Drosophila melanogaster: one gene and its partner. The protein of the gene in region 1 purifies or fractionates together with the protein of each later gene. This does not show direct contact. Each region holds a gene or a part of one and is shown in the gene's direction. Other genes may lie near its edges.

Evidence for each region.
Region 2: the proteins of brp (region 1) and par-1 purify together in Drosophila melanogaster (affinity purification with western blotting, with the first as the bait; one study listed by BioGRID). This does not show direct contact.

What each region holds. Positions count from the first base shown.
Region 1 is NT_033778.4:9,502,023-9,509,787, forward strand, and holds the start of brp (bruchpilot), read left to right. Parts: upstream 1-1,742; 5' UTR 1,743-1,823; intron 1,824-2,981; 5' UTR 2,982-3,446; intron 3,447-5,840; 5' UTR 5,841-6,095; coding exon 6,096-6,231; intron 6,232-6,904; exon of another isoform or gene 6,905-7,148; intron 7,149-7,765. Other genes in the region: Wnt2 (Wnt oncogene analog 2), read left to right, coding at 1-234, 300-487, 705-1,017.
Region 2 is NT_033778.4:19,464,318-19,472,304, forward strand, and holds the start of par-1 (par-1), read left to right. Parts: upstream 1-3,148; 5' UTR 3,149-3,324; exon of another isoform or gene 3,325-3,496; intron 3,497-4,472; 5' UTR 4,473-4,653; coding exon 4,654-6,021; intron 6,022-6,279; coding exon 6,280-6,495; intron 6,496-6,554; coding exon 6,555-6,775; intron 6,776-6,891; coding exon 6,892-7,173; intron 7,174-7,234; coding exon 7,235-7,428; intron 7,429-7,987.

The sequences.
Region 1 (7,765 bases):
TACGCGGTGACCGCCGCCTGTGCCCGCGGCAACATCTCCACCTGCGGCTGTGATGTGCGGCACAAAGCCACGCCCACTGGCGGCGGTACGCCCGACGAGCCCTGGAAGTGGGGCGGCTGCTCGGCGGACGTGGACTTTGGGATGCGGTATGCGCGCAGATTCATGGATGCCCGCGAATTGGAGCGCGACTCCCGCACGCTGATGAACCTGCACAATAACCGAGCAGGGAGAACGGTGCGCATGCATAAAATTTAATAATAAATATGGCCTAGTTAATAGTTATGTTTTTCTCTTATCAGCTGGTCAAGAAGATGCTGCGCACGGACTGCAAGTGCCATGGCGTCAGTGGCTCCTGCGTGATGAAGACCTGCTGGAAGAGCCTGCCGCCCTTTCGACTGGTTGGCGATAGACTCATGCTGAAGTATCAAAAAGCCAAAACTGTTCAAGCCGTCAAAGGCAAACGTGGACTGAGATTAGTATTAAGCAGGTGAGAAATGGGAATCTTGCAAGATGTTGCATGATATGTAGGCAATAATCTAATGGCTAAATAAGTATTCTTCTAAAAAGAATAAAACACATAGTAGTCATTAAGTCCTTTTTAAATGCAATATGTTTGCTGTGCCTTCTGTAGCACGGTATAATATCAACACATTTTCGATCCCACATATTAACACATACCTCTTTCCACTTTTAATTTCTTGCAGAAAGAAGCATGCCGGCACCGCTCGTGCCCAGAAACCGGTCCTCGATTGGCCGAAGCGCATGGAGCTGATCTACCTGGAGGCGTCGCCCAACTACTGCGAGCGAAGTCTGCAGACGGGCAGCCAGGGCACCTCAGGTCGGACCTGCCAGCGGACCGGCCACGGCCCCCAGAGCTGCGATCTGCTCTGCTGTGGGCGTGGCCACAACACGCAGCACATTCGAAGGACCACGCAGTGCCGCTGCCAATTCCGCTGGTGCTGCGAGGTCAAGTGTGACGAGTGCGACGAGAGCTACGAGGAGTTCACCTGTAAATAGACGGGTAGCGGGAGCATATCGCTAGAACTAGGGCTATGTCATAGGAAATGCGTTGATTAAGTATTATGAGAAATGTATTACAACCGCAGATACGCACCGCGCCACCATACAGACACATTCCAGAATAAACGTAACAAGTTAACATCCCCAACGAATACTGTCTTATTATTAAGTTCGTATAATTCAAATAAGTATTTAAGTTTTCTTAGAAAAGAACCTTCTGCAAAAAAGCTAATCTAGGTGAGCTGATACATTCAGTCTGCTGTTTCAGATTTCTTATTCCTTAAAAATAGTTTCCAAAATAATGAAATCCAAATCTTTAAGAATCTATAATCTGTTCTTATAGAAAACTGTTCCTAAAACCAACGAGTTCATAGTCTAATTTTGAGGGCGGTTTGAATAGTTGGCGCGCAGCATTGCCAACGCTGAATGTGGAGCAATACGTAAGACCCACATTCGTTTAGCGTAACGCAATGCGCTGGCTCCATATTTTGGTATTGGAATTCCGGAATCCATTAAGCTGGCAGCTCGAGATGCCAGCACTCACTGAACTGCGCGAGCGCCGAAAGGAAAATTCATTGATTGCAATCGCGCGCTCTCCGGCTAGCTCTCCCTATGCCTAGGCCAGGAGGAAAGCAGAGGGTGGTCGGTAAGGAAAAGTTGGAAAACTCACCACTTGCCAGCGAATCGGCGACTATATTAGCAACTGGCTTGCACGAGCCGTGCTCAGTTCTTTGAGGGTAGTTAGTTGGACAACGGCGTTGCCGAAAACGGGCCACCTCAGCTGCCGCACAATACATTTTTGGGTTAGGAACACACATAGACACGAATACCAATACACTCCCGCATGCACACACACATACACACACGCGCAGTATATGTATCTGGCCGAGAAATGTATAAGGCCAAGAAAAGTCCAACTTAATTGCATTCGCAGCGGAGAAAAGTGAAAGAATAGCGCGAGAAAATTCCATTGACTGGCGAAAAGTGCTTCGATCAAATGCATAAAGTCCCCGTTAGTGTGTGTGTATGTGTGCGAGTGAGTGAGTGTGCGTGAATGGCAGCACTAGCGCTAGAGGCTGCTCCCTGGATACAGAAAAGTGATTTCCTGCAAAAAGTGCGAAAAAAGCGAGTTAAAAGCAAATCGAGCTGGCCAAAAAGCCGCCTATAGCGCTCAAAATCGTGTGACAAACTCAAGGAACCATTTCACACACACCCTTTATACGTATATATATATACAAATGTGCATTTGTGTATAGTATATCAGTGTGAAAGACCAACGTACAAACACACACTGTCAATCAAAAGGAGTCATCTGTCCCACTAAACGCTGCCTATCGATTGGGGCGAAAGCAAAAAAAAATTATTATAAATTGCTTCAACCTACATATAAGCCATGCGAGTTATACACACACACTCGCATTCGCACACCCACAAAACCGCACTCACACACACACACACACACATACGCATACGCCTACAAAGAGACATTAAGTTTGAAAAGCTATAAGCTGTATAACAGAGCCTAGAGCCGAGCGAATGAAGTGACGGAAGGTGGGGTGCCAGCATAATGTTGAGCCACCCAAACCACCCGCTCAGCTCCACCGCCCCTCGCCCCTCGCCACACGCCACTCCCCCCACAATCCCCTTTCGTTACGTCGAACCTTACGTTGTTCGTGAGCGTAACTCGTGCGTAGAACACTCTCCACTCCATTTTGCGGAGCACTCTTCAACTCCCTATCTCTCCGTATCGCTGTGTTTGCTGTGCCTGTGTGTGTGTGTGTGTGTGTGTGTTGGGCTCGAATGTGTGTCAGCGGGAACGAGTGTAAAAAATATCCTCGTTGGGCACGAAGCCACCAAACCACTTGGAAAAATAAATGAAACACAAAAAAACCCACTCAGTGAATGAAGACTTTAATTAGTTTAGCTGGAAACTCACGCGGTTTAATTATCCTCCCACACAGCCATGTACATAAAACAAAAGCCGTTTAAATCATAAACACAAAATGCAATTAGCCAGCGAGCGCACGCCACGAAAGTCAACAAACTAACTAAGCCAGTGTCATCAACTAAATTAGTGCAAGCAGCTAGCCGACCGGAACCGGAAATGCCCATTGAGCCGCCTGACAACAACCACAAACACAATCACAATCGCAGTCACCAGCACCATTGCATTGGCAACGGCCATAAAGACGAGCAACAAATCGCCCACACACACATGTAGTTGCAGCGCGAGTGCGTCAGTGTGTGCGGGCTCTGAAAACCGGAAGCGGAAGTCGAGGAGCAGCAGCAGGAGCAGGAGCAGGAGCAAGAGGATTAAACGAACGAGGAGGTGCAGTAGCAGGAGCAGCAGCTAGCTTAGCCAGTTTTTCATTCGCCCGCAGTTCGTTAAGGAAAATCATTCAAAATTCATCGCCTAAGCAAAGCGGGTGAGCTATTTAACCGTATTACGTATACGTAACGACACCCACACTGACACTGAGATACACACACATAAACGCACACACAACCAAAGAAACACGGCAAAAACTTCAATTTGTGATGTGAACCATAAGCGATATTGATTTCTGATTTGTGCGTATGCCTTGTGTAACAGGAGCCGCCATAATTTAATCGTAATCAGTTATAAGTAATCTGTTTTTGTGCCTGCCTTTGTTCTCTCTGTGTAACTTCTTTATCTCCTGTACGTATCTGTTGTGATTTCTTTCTTGTGATTTTACCGATGAATATGTCCAGCTGAATATAAAATACGATCCCCGATTATCTAGACCTAGTTGCAGTCCTAGAACGTAGTCGAGTAACTTAGTTTAGCGAGTAATTTTAGTCTGTTCTCCATGCATTACCCATACGCCCCGTTCAATCAATCAATCATCCGGAGATTGGCAAGCAATTTGAAAACTTATAATTAGATATGTGGATGGTGCCTTGTGGGGCAGGCTCGACGCATTCGATTTGCTCGCATGATTTGTCAGTTTTTTGTTCAGCTTTTTTGGGGGCCGGCCCAATCACCTCCTTTGCGTGTCAATGATGCGGTGTTTGCCTTTATTATTTACTTCTTTCGGCTGTTATTTGAGTTGCTTGCTCTAATTTTAGATCAGCCGAATAACTTTTATTGATTTCAAATTTCAACCTTATTTTACATGTGGTCTGAGTCAGTGTCTGTGTGTGTCTGTTGTGAGAGTCAGTGTGTGTGCGGGCGAAGAAAACGCCGCCAATCCATATATTGGGGCAGTGGTAACAACAAAATACGGCAAATATTTTACGATGACGCTATTGTTGTGAGCGGGAGCGAATGGAGAAAGCAGCCAGAGGAACGGAGAAAGGCGAGAGGAGAAAGGGAAGTGCGCTGGTGAGATGGCACGCATTTGCGCACTAGCCTCCCAGTGTGGTGAGTTCTCTCTCCGGCTTTCTCCGGGGACGCCTCTCGTTTTTTCGGAAGCTATTCAACATGTTTGTTTTGGGGTGGAGGCCCCCGGAGCAGATAGCCTGATAAGATGGCCTCCGGACGGACAACAATCGTAGTGGCTTCCAGTTTCAGCTTCAGCTCCAGGTCCCCCAAGTATGCAGCTAGAAGTGCAATCCGTCTCCCGCTCTCCGCATCTACATACATCTGGCAGTATGGCAGTATATATCTGGATATGTTTGCCCAGCAAAGTGCACTGCCTGGGGCTCCCTAATGGCATGGCGATGTAATCGAATCTGGGCCTGATATTTTATGGCCTGTCTGCCATATCCTGACCTCATCTGCTGCGCTTCCTCCATCTTTTTATGTCCCCATTCTCCCTGCCGCACACATAGAGCATCCACATCCACAGAATCAAGCTGAGGCTTCCTTTCCACGGCTTTTGGCTGTGTGAATGGGCTTCCGGCCTGCTGATTCATTTAGCATTCATTTGAGCCGCTGCAGCTGTCGCACCGCTGCCGTTGATATCTGCACTCTTGGCCCATTCACATCATTCACAGCAGCCGAAGGTTCAACATTTCGTCTTATCACCAGGTCGCATTGTTTATGCGGGCGCCTTAATTACAACCTGCTATTCATGACATTCAAATACAAAGTCTACAAAGTAAACACGATGATTTGAGGTCATCAGAATCAAAATACTAAAGCCAATTATTAGCCACGAAAATATTGAATTTATTCATTTTGTTCTTATTTAAAATTAATACCCAATAATATTTTTGAAACGATTTAAGTTATTTAAGCTATAGTAAAGCAGAGAACATTATGAGTGCGTTACGTTATATACTTATTTATAAGTTTATTTGATTTTAAATTGAGACCAAAAGATGAGGATGTTATATTAAAAATATCTGTCTTATTAAAAAAAGGCCTATGCCAATTTAAGGATGAACCGCATAAACTTCGGCTGACAGCTTCTGTTTGAGACTTCCTTGCAACCGAGTGGCAGACGCTCGAGTGGCAATTTGCATGCGATTTGTTGCCGTCGCCGTAGAGCACGAATTTGCATAGAGCAAATGCTCGGCGGGATGCGCTCTCCTCTCCGCAGCCGTTTCCGTCCTTTGAGTCCTGTTAAGTCTGTTTATCGTATTTGTTTATGCGCTTTTGGCCCGGTAGTGAGTCAGCTCCCGACCGAGATTTAGGTAAAAAGGTTAAGGATATGCAAGTTGAGCTACAGCCAATTTAAATGCAAAGGAGAAAAACGCTGAAGAGCGGCAAAGCCTTGGCTTTTTAGCGTGCAACGGGGCGTATGCGTAATGCAATATATTGTTTATGACGAGAGAGCATCTCGATTGTGCCGTGTGCTATTGTACTATTGTGTGTTTGTTTTTCGTTCTCTTCTCCTATCTTCCACTTGCAGATGCCGCACAAGAAAAAGAGAGAGAGAGAGAGAGAGAGAGAGAAAGTGGCGAATAGATCAATCAATTAATCAATCAAAACCGAGCATATCAACCGAGAGGCCAATACCAACCAGAGAACCGAAATCAAAGTTCAACGTTGCATTTAAGGTTGCATCCGGTAGACCAGTTCAACTCCAACTGCAACCTCCGGTTCCACGTACCACATTCCATTTGCACCCCGTGTGTGATTGCATGCCGCGGATGAGCCGCGGATTATGTCACGTGACGATTATAATCCAGTAACTAGCTCTGGTGTGCGCAGTCCGGGTCGCGTGCGGCGTCTCCAGGAATTGCCGACGGTCGATCGATCCCCATCCCGGGACTACGGAGCGCCACGCGGAAGTCCTTTAGGTGAATGACCACTCCAACCCGAAACTTAACCCAATCTGAAACCAAAACCGAACTGAATCTCTGGACCTAGTCCACGCAATCTGAGCACAAACGTAGTCCAGCACTTGGCCAGTAAATCAAATTTGTTTGTGCGAGAGCCCTGCGAACATTGATTTTTTACCCCATTACGATTACGATCAATTGGCTTTGCTTTTACCGATCTAGAAAGTACTAACCCTTTCTGCAGACCTAACGCAGATGTCATTACAAATTCCAAATTCCAAATTCCAAACTCGATTCGCCAAAATTCATTATGCAAAATTAACGCTTATGTTTGGAGATTTGTATATCGCTCGCTAGCTCTCTACTTGTTACCGCCATATATAACTATTTTCATTTCGTACTATTTGTAGTCAACTCAACTAATGCAATTTCTAACTAAAGTCTATTATTTCTGTCTAACATCACACGCATGCGCATGGTACATAAATTTGATTTCATTTCATTTCACTTGATTCGATTTTCATTTATTTCGTATTCCGTTTCGCTTCACTCATCCTGCGAATCTCAACCGATTTTCATTTCAATTAACCAACACAAACGGCACTCGACACACTCCACAACCGACACACACTTCAAACACATGCAAATTGAATTCCACGCGGGGATTGGATGGGTATTTTCCGTGAAGCAGCTGCCGCTGCCGGGAAATTGCATTAGAACCGGTGAACCGACCGGGACAACAGGACTAGAAAATGGCCCACAGCTGAGCCGTTGGACGCTAGAAAAAGCCACTGCGGAAAGGTGCACCTTGGAAAATATCACCATCAACTATAGTAACACTGCAACCGAAACTGAACTGAATCTGTATCTGAATCTGAAACTTTGCCCGGAGCCGTGCGTTTGATATCAAAGCCTCAAACTGGATTACAATTATGGTTAGCTAAACTGTTTTGCACTTGAACGGGGTCAGCACTTGATTACGCCAGCTAATTAGCATTTGGCCGCCATTGCGGGGGGGCTTGAATAAACCATTTATGAGTCGAATACCGGAACACTGAGTAGTAGTGAGTAGTGAACAGTGGCGGACAAGGACGTTGGCGGAACCGCAAATTTAGTTTCGTGCTCTGACGTGCAAAATGATTTCGTGCCGGGCAAAACTTAGTTTATGACCCTCGACGGTGGGCTGAGATATGAAATATGAACGAGGCGCCAGGACAAACAGGGTAGCGGGTAGCGAACGAGCGGCTTGTGTGGGTGAGAGGGGGTTGGTGAGGAGGAGGGGGGGGGGGGCGGTGAGCAAAGCCAGAACACGACCAACACTCCTTCCTCTCCTTCGTTTGTTGACTTTTCCTTTTGCATTTCCTTTTTAGTTACCTGCATTCCTTGCCACTAACCTAACCTAACCCAACAAAACCAAACCAAACCCAACTGAAAAATTAGAAAAAAGCAAAGGAAATGAGGCAGAGACTCCACTGCACTAGTTGCCACCTCTAGAAAAAAATCACTCTGTATACTTTTCTTTGGTTGCGTTCCTTTTGTTCTGGTGGCCGAA
Region 2 (7,987 bases), about 10 Mb from region 1:
AAGATGGTCTTTTCGAAATAAAAGCGACAAAGCTGCGCCTGAATTGTGATTGTTGTGCCACAAAATACACAAAACGAACAAAATTTATTCATACTTTTATGCACACGTATACGCGCGCATCTCTCAATGTTTACACACGAAATTCGCTGTGATAATTGCCAAAGCGAAGAACGAGGGAATATGTGTCTCAGTTTCGTTGCAACTGGGCCAATAATCCGTATACCGTGAACACCGAGTCGCGTCGAGAACGAAGAAATACCACCGCAACCCAACCACGAAACAACCAAGTGAACCACCCACCGCAAAACCACCAAAGCACCTACCATGGGCCAGACTTCCAGTCACCGGCAGATGCACCACAGTAGCAATAACAACAACAAGGAGGAACCACCACAACCGGCTTCACAGTTTGGAAATCGTCGAACCTCTACCCGCAAATCGACTTCGTCTTCGAAACATTACCCCACATTGGTGCAACCATTGCGTAAGGATGAGCTCTCTCTCCTGCGAGATTCACTTCTGCGCAATGGAAGCATTATGCGCAAGAACCCGGAACGTCGTCCGGTAACGATCAGTGAGCTGAAACCAGTTAATACCGGGCAGGGGACTTCGGGTAGTGTCCTGCCTATTACAGCAGAGGATGCTGCTGGTGGGAGCAGTAGTAGCATCACCCAACTAATGGCCTTCCAACTGCCCGTGGATCGAAGTGCCAAGACTGACGACCTGGCTGCCGAATCCTCGGCTTCAGCAGCAGCAGCTGTGGCGCCCAAGGAGGGGCGCAATGAGTTTTATATTGTGGGAGATGGCTATCATCGGACGGATCACTGCTACTATCGCAGTCCCAATGGCGATTTTCACAAACTGCCATCCGACTCCTTTCACAAGATGTCGGAGGGCTGTTTCGTCCGAATGGCCGATGGGGTCTTCCGTCGCCTGGAGGTACCCACCAAGGCTCAAATATCCCGAAGATCCAGCAGGGCAGAGGAAATAGGCGATGCCACAAGCCAGGGAAATGGAAGTGCCGCCACCAATGTTAAGAGCCAACTGATGAGATTTCTAAAGCGCTCCAAGAGCCACACGCCCGCCACTATTGCCAAGTTGCAGCGGGAAAAGGAGGAGGCCCGAGCGGAACGCAAGCAACGGCTATCGAACGCCCTGCGGCAGAAGAATCTAGCGGCCACAAATGCAGCCTCAGCTGCGGCGGCGAACTCATCCTACGCAAGCGGTGGTGGTGGTGGCACCGTAAGCAGTCGGAACAATAAGATTGTGGTGACAATGATCGAAAACGGCGGCTTGCCCATTGTGGCCACCAGTAAGGCGGAAAGGCCCAAGGCCAAGGAGTCGGCATCATCCAGTGACAAGGCTCGCAACTCGAGGGTATGTAATATTGGATATAAATTTATCGATATTATCGATGGTTGCTTACATTTTATCGAAATCCATCGACGGTAACGGTAACCCGTTAGATACTATTGCATAATTAATATAATAGAAGATATAGGAGGATTTATATTGGGAGCTTGCGATATTGGCAATTATGTGATTTAGAAACTTTCCTAGGCTCTTGAGCAAAACTACACTTGACCTTGCTACTTCATTTCAAAAGAGTGGGGCAATAAGGTTATATTTGTTGTGATTAAAGTTTGTCGGTCTCTCACACTTCCCCATTCATTTATGAACATTGCAAATTTATCGTTGTTGTGCTGCCACCTTCATTCAATCTAATCGTAATCGCTGTTTCGTTTTTGTCTGTATCTGTCACGGTTTTTGGTTTTTTTTCCACAATCGAATGAATAACGATTTCTATTATTTTGATTACGGATTTTGTTTAATTTCAGATTTTTGTTACCCCACATTGAATTCCTATAATCCATATGGAAACTAATATATATTTTCAGTCTAATCGCACAAGTGCTACATAAAAACCCAACGCAAATACGTTTAAAGATTAGGGGATTATAGGGATTACGGGCTCTCTGTTTCTATAACTATACGATTGCATTGTCCGGAGGACAAGTTCATAATAGTTGACCTCATTAGATTTTCCTGTTAGCTAGCATGCGAAAAATGAAATTCTATCTTTAATGTTTTTGTTTGGGACCTGAAAGGCTTGACTGAAATCTCGCTGTCTTGTCTTAATGTAGATTAAGCTGCAAGTTATTCAATTAGCTTAATTAATACGGACACTTTATACAGGCTCAGCTACTTGATACCTCGTATGAATAAATTAAAACCAAACTTGGCGAGTTACAAATTGACAGAATGATCGAATTTCATATGAGACACTTTTTGATATCTTAAAATGAGAGTTTCTCTATTTTCCAGATTATTTATTTTTAAGTATACCTAATGTGTTTCGTTTATGTCGTATCACTCGTGTCTCTATATATTTTATTCACAAATTTTATTGTGTCGGCTGACAAATGACTTACAATTATTTGACGACAAGATGTTCATAATAATGTTCTTTCGGGATTGCATTTTTAGTACCAAACTGTGTGTATTCCTCGGTCTTTGTATTCTGGTGATTGATATAGAGTAAAACAGGGGAACGGGGGAAGTTGATTAGTGAAATCTTCGCGACGACCGTAGAATTCCGACTCAGACTTCAGACATCATGTCCTTTTGGTTTTATTACTTAGAACTCTTACGTAATGCATCACCTAATCAACTGATTAACTTTAAAGGAAGCAGTTGAACTTATTGGGTAATTGATTGATTTTAATAGAAAACCAAAGTCCAACCGAATGTTACTTTAATCGCAGTAAATCAGGGAAGAAGCGCTTTGCGTAACTTGGTGGAACTTATATATTGCGCACATGCGCAGAACACTAAACCCTGCAGCAAACACGGCTAACAGTTTCTTTCCCAGCGTTACGCTCAGTGGTACTCGCACACTCATACACTCTCAAAACTTTCGAGCTCCAAACGGGGCTTCTCTTTGTGGGAGAACAAGTACACAGATGCAGATACGGATAGAGATACTGTATTAATGGTAGTAGTGCTCCACCAGTGGAGAGAGCTGCCCACTGATCGTGTGCTTGTGCTGGTGTGTTGGTGTATTAAGGCCGACGCCGCTGCCGCAGTCGACGTCGCTGCTCGAAGCGATTCCGTGCTTTTGGAATACTCCGCGCTCTCGCTCTCCGGCACTCCAGTTCCAGTTGCTGAGTGGCCAAGTGGCTCTTTGGCTGCTGAGCCCTGTTTAGCTTTGTTTTTCGGTGTCTTCTGTGTTTTGCTGTTTTTTGTTGGTGTAAATCGTATAGTTGTAGTCGTAGCCTGTCGACGACGTTTACGTCAGAGTTGCAGAGGAGGAGCTATAATTTAGTACGAATACCCAAACCCCCACGTAAAATGAGTGCGAAAAATTGCGAAAGCCGCGTGCCTCTGCGATAAGATAACCGTGTGTGGTTAAAGAACTCCTCCGGCCAACGAAACGAACCTTTTAATAATCGGGATTTGCGCGAAATGTGATTTTTTATAGTCCACAGACCAAGTGAAAAAAAAAGAAAGAAAATACTCACACACTATCAAACGACCAATGTATATAGCCTAACTGTGTTTTTCAGCAGTGAAAAAGTCGGCTCAATTGTCTAAAAGTAGTTCATTTGCTTCAATGTGTTGGTGCGACCGTGCATGTGTGTGTCTGTGTGTGTGCATTGGAGCTTTTCGCTTTGCTCACTGAAGCAGCGACGAATAAAAATGGAATATAACCAGCCAGCAACTAAACGACTCGTACGGACGAATTGTTCAGATACTTGTAGATCTCCACATCGTAACTATTTAGACAGTAATTAAAAGCAACAAAGGAAAATAGCGAAAAGGCAAATGAATCATAAAACTGAAAAGAGAGCGTGGGAGAGGAGGGTGGGGGTGGGGACAGGAAAAGCGTGACACACACACGAGAGAGAGCGAGGGCATCTCAGCTGAGCTTGTGCAACAGCAGTAGAAATAGGAGAGAGCAATTTAGAGAGAGACCGAAAACAAACACACGCACAAGAGCTCACCTCCACCACAGGTGTGTAGGTGCCACTTCGCTTTTCTCTCTCGCGCACTCTCTTTTGCTATGTATGTAATTGTGTGTTTAGGTATATTGCCCTCCCTTTCACATCCCCACATCGCCTGCCGTGTGTTTATTTCAGTGTCACCGGGGAGACAGATTAGCTCTTGTCCGCCTGTTGTCGTAAATATCACGCACACACGCTTCCCGTCCGCCCATCTGTACATACATATGTACATACGTAGAAATGGAAGTTGCTAGCTGTGTGTTTAATTCATTTTCGAGGTTTTAATGCGCAACAACTGCGACTTGTTGTGTGTTGGTTAGACGACAAAAAACAAACAAAAGTAACGTTGAGAATTTAGAAAGCCCAATGCAAACGAACGCACACACAAGCACTTACTCCTGTCGGTGTGAGCTGCATTGTACTTCCGAAGCCCCAAGACCAATTTAATAATTTTCCCCAAACTCACAGTGTAAGAACAATAAACACGCCAAGCGCAACTTGAAAAAGAAATAAGAAAAAAGAAAAAGTTGCGATCTCTCCGAGCAACAAGTACTTGTGCACCAACACACTCAAGGGAAGAGTGCCACGACAAAAAAATTTAAGAGAAAAAAAACAGAAAAACCGAAATCAGCAGCAAAACGGAGGAGCTATGGAGGCCACCACTACCACAACACCTGACTTGAATCGCGGCGATGCCACCAGGAAGAGTGTCCGGCTGTATGCCGCCCGCAAGGGGGCGGCACCTGCGCCGCCCAAGCTCAGTGTGGCGCCATCTAGTAACCAGAACAGCAACCACAGCAGCAACAACAACAATAGCAGCAGTAACTTGCCGGAAACGGAAAAGGAAATGGAACTGCGTCAAACACATCTTGCCAACAAGGATCTCGATGGAGCCACCGAAGACGACAGCATAGTGGAGCTTCGACGACGTGATGCCCAAGCCACTCCATTGCCCAGGATAGCCGTATCGGCTCTACCCACCCTACAGCCGCATCCCACGCCCAAAGAACGCCAAAAGCCGCCAATGCCACGCCTTCTGTCCACCGAAGACGATGCCGGTGTGTCCTTTGCCCTCGGCTCCATCGAGAAGCACATCCATAACGTGGAGGAGAGCTTTAAGCAACAGCAGCAAAACCAACAATCCCAATCATCGATGGACGTGATGAAACTGGAGATCAAGCGCAAGCAGAGCAAGCGCTACGGTGAAACGGAAAACCTTCTGCGACCGGGCATTAGTGACATGTCCTCCGAGAATGATTTTCAGTATTTGGGCGGCAGGCGGGCAGGAGAACTGGATGACAGCAATGAGCTGATGTTATCGGAATTCCAGCGCGGCAGCGATGGTCGTAACTCGATCGGAGCCTATTCCAAGAACTCGGCTGCTGCCGCAAACGGAGCAAATGCTGTGAAGGCTAAACTGGCACGTACTGCCTCCGATACGAAGAATAATGATACGGTGCTGGCCATGAGGGCCACTTTTAAGCAGAAGCAGCACTTGCAGGACGAGAAACAGCCAGCGGTATGGCGACCAGCTGGCACTGGACCCACTCCGGCGGCCAGGAGCTCCTCCTCCACCACGTCCACCTCCGGCTCGGCCAGTCGTGGCGGTAGCAGCAGCAGCGTGGTGGATGGAGTGGCTCCATCTAAGCTTACGGCCACTACCATTTCAGCGTCTAAGCGGCGTGAGGAGAATTTGCGACAATTTGAAGCTTTGTTGGCCCAAAAATCCTCACATCGTCATGGAGCATCTGGTGCCTCGGGAACAGGAAGTAATGCAGCCAGTTCGAAAAGACGTTCGGACCGGCCGATTGTGGCTCCTATTCCTCCGTACAATTCCAGTCGAGCAGAGCATGTGACCAGCTCGACCAGACACAGCGTTGATCCAAGATCCCATTCGGGACACGAGTCGAGGTCAGGAACAGCCTCAACTCACCCGCCTGTAGGACATCATCCCACTAGCCGCGTACCCAGCGTGGTGGCAAACCGCAGCAATGTGTACAGCAACAATGCTGCGCAGGTAAACGGGATAAAAACCAAAATCCATTTTTATCTACCATATTTCAATATAATTTTCATCATTTGGTTCAGAGAAAGCAATACCACTGTGGTTTAAAATCGCATTTAATATAACTATTAATCGTTAGCAATGCGGTTTTTAAAGGGTCATAAATCAGGATTGTCACAGAAATGTTGGGTTTTATATATAAATTATAACCGACACCTGATGCACACCAAAATACATAACTTTACTTACCCCTGACCATTGTTTTTACAGGGTTCGCCTAACATGCAAATGCGGAGTAGTGCTCCTATGCGATGGCGTGCTACTGAGGAGCATATTGGCAAATACAAACTCATAAAGACGATCGGCAAGGGCAATTTTGCCAAGGTGAAACTAGCGAAACACCTGCCCACTGGCAAGGAGGTCGCCATCAAGATAATTGACAAGACCCAACTCAATCCTGGGTCACTACAGAAACTCTTTAGAGAGGTTTGTACTTAGCTTAAAAGAATACCTTGACTTATTTACTAATCGTACTCTGCCCACAGGTTAGAATAATGAAGATGCTGGATCACCCCAACATAGTTAAATTGTTCCAAGTAATCGAAACGGAGAAGACGCTCTATCTGATCATGGAGTACGCATCTGGCGGAGAAGTCTTCGACTACCTGGTTCTCCACGGACGCATGAAGGAGAAGGAGGCGCGAGTTAAGTTTCGACAAATCGTCTCAGCCGTGCAATATTGTCATCAAAAAAGAATAATTCACAGGTAAGAGTAATCAATGCTAATTAAAATCAGATGATTTATATAAACAGGCTAGGACAAACCAAAGGCCCATTATTATAGTTGGCACCTTATTAACCGGAATTATTTATTTATAACAGGGACTTAAAAGCTGAAAACCTTTTGCTGGACAGCGAACTGAACATCAAAATCGCTGACTTTGGCTTTTCGAACGAGTTCACACCCGGCTCAAAGCTGGACACGTTCTGCGGTAGCCCGCCATATGCGGCACCGGAGCTGTTTCAGGGCAAAAAGTACGACGGACCGGAGGTCGATGTTTGGTCGCTGGGCGTCATCCTGTATACGTTAGTGAGCGGTTCCCTGCCCTTCGACGGCTCCACCTTGAGGGAGTTGCGTGAACGCGTGCTCAGAGGCAAATATAGGTAAGTGTTGCAAGATAAAATGAAAGTAAATGGAACTAAACCAAACCGCTTATCCCCACAGAATTCCCTTCTATATGTCGACTGACTGCGAAAACTTGCTCCGCAAATTCTTAGTACTGAATCCCGCAAAGCGTGCTAGTCTGGAAACAATCATGGGCGACAAGTGGATGAACATGGGGTTTGAGGAGGACGAACTCAAGCCCTATATTGAGCCCAAAGCCGATTTAGCCGATCCCAAGCGGATAGGTAAGACGGGTACTGTATACAAAATTTATTACTAATATTATTAACGAATTGTGTGTGGAATGGAGTTTTGCCTGCCAATTGCTCGTTGTGTTTTATTGCTGTTATCAAGCGATCTTTGTTTATGTAATGTAATACTACTAGTTCCTTTGTAAACTCTTTCTTTATCAACTTGTTTTCATTTTGTAGTTGAATGTTGCTTACAGAATTCCTTTTACTTGGGTTCTCCCAGTGTTGCGTTATCCTGATGTTTGTATTTTAAATTCAATTACCTTCATGGTGTTTTGTTTGTAAATTCTCACATAGCTGCGGGGTCACAAACCGGTGCCAAGAATTCGCTCTCGATTCGGCGTAGTGCGTACACCTTGATGTTAATGGTCAACTTTCTGATCGACGAGCGGAAGGGTCCACCTAAAAATGTATGCAATCTGTGTAGTGGAAACGTTAACGCTCGATCCCCAGAGTTCCGCATTAACCCCCAACTCTCTGTTCTCTTTCTCACTTTCTGTCCTCAAAATTCTACATACAAACAGACCGTCAAGGAAGATATCAAACCAGCTCAAGAGAACGG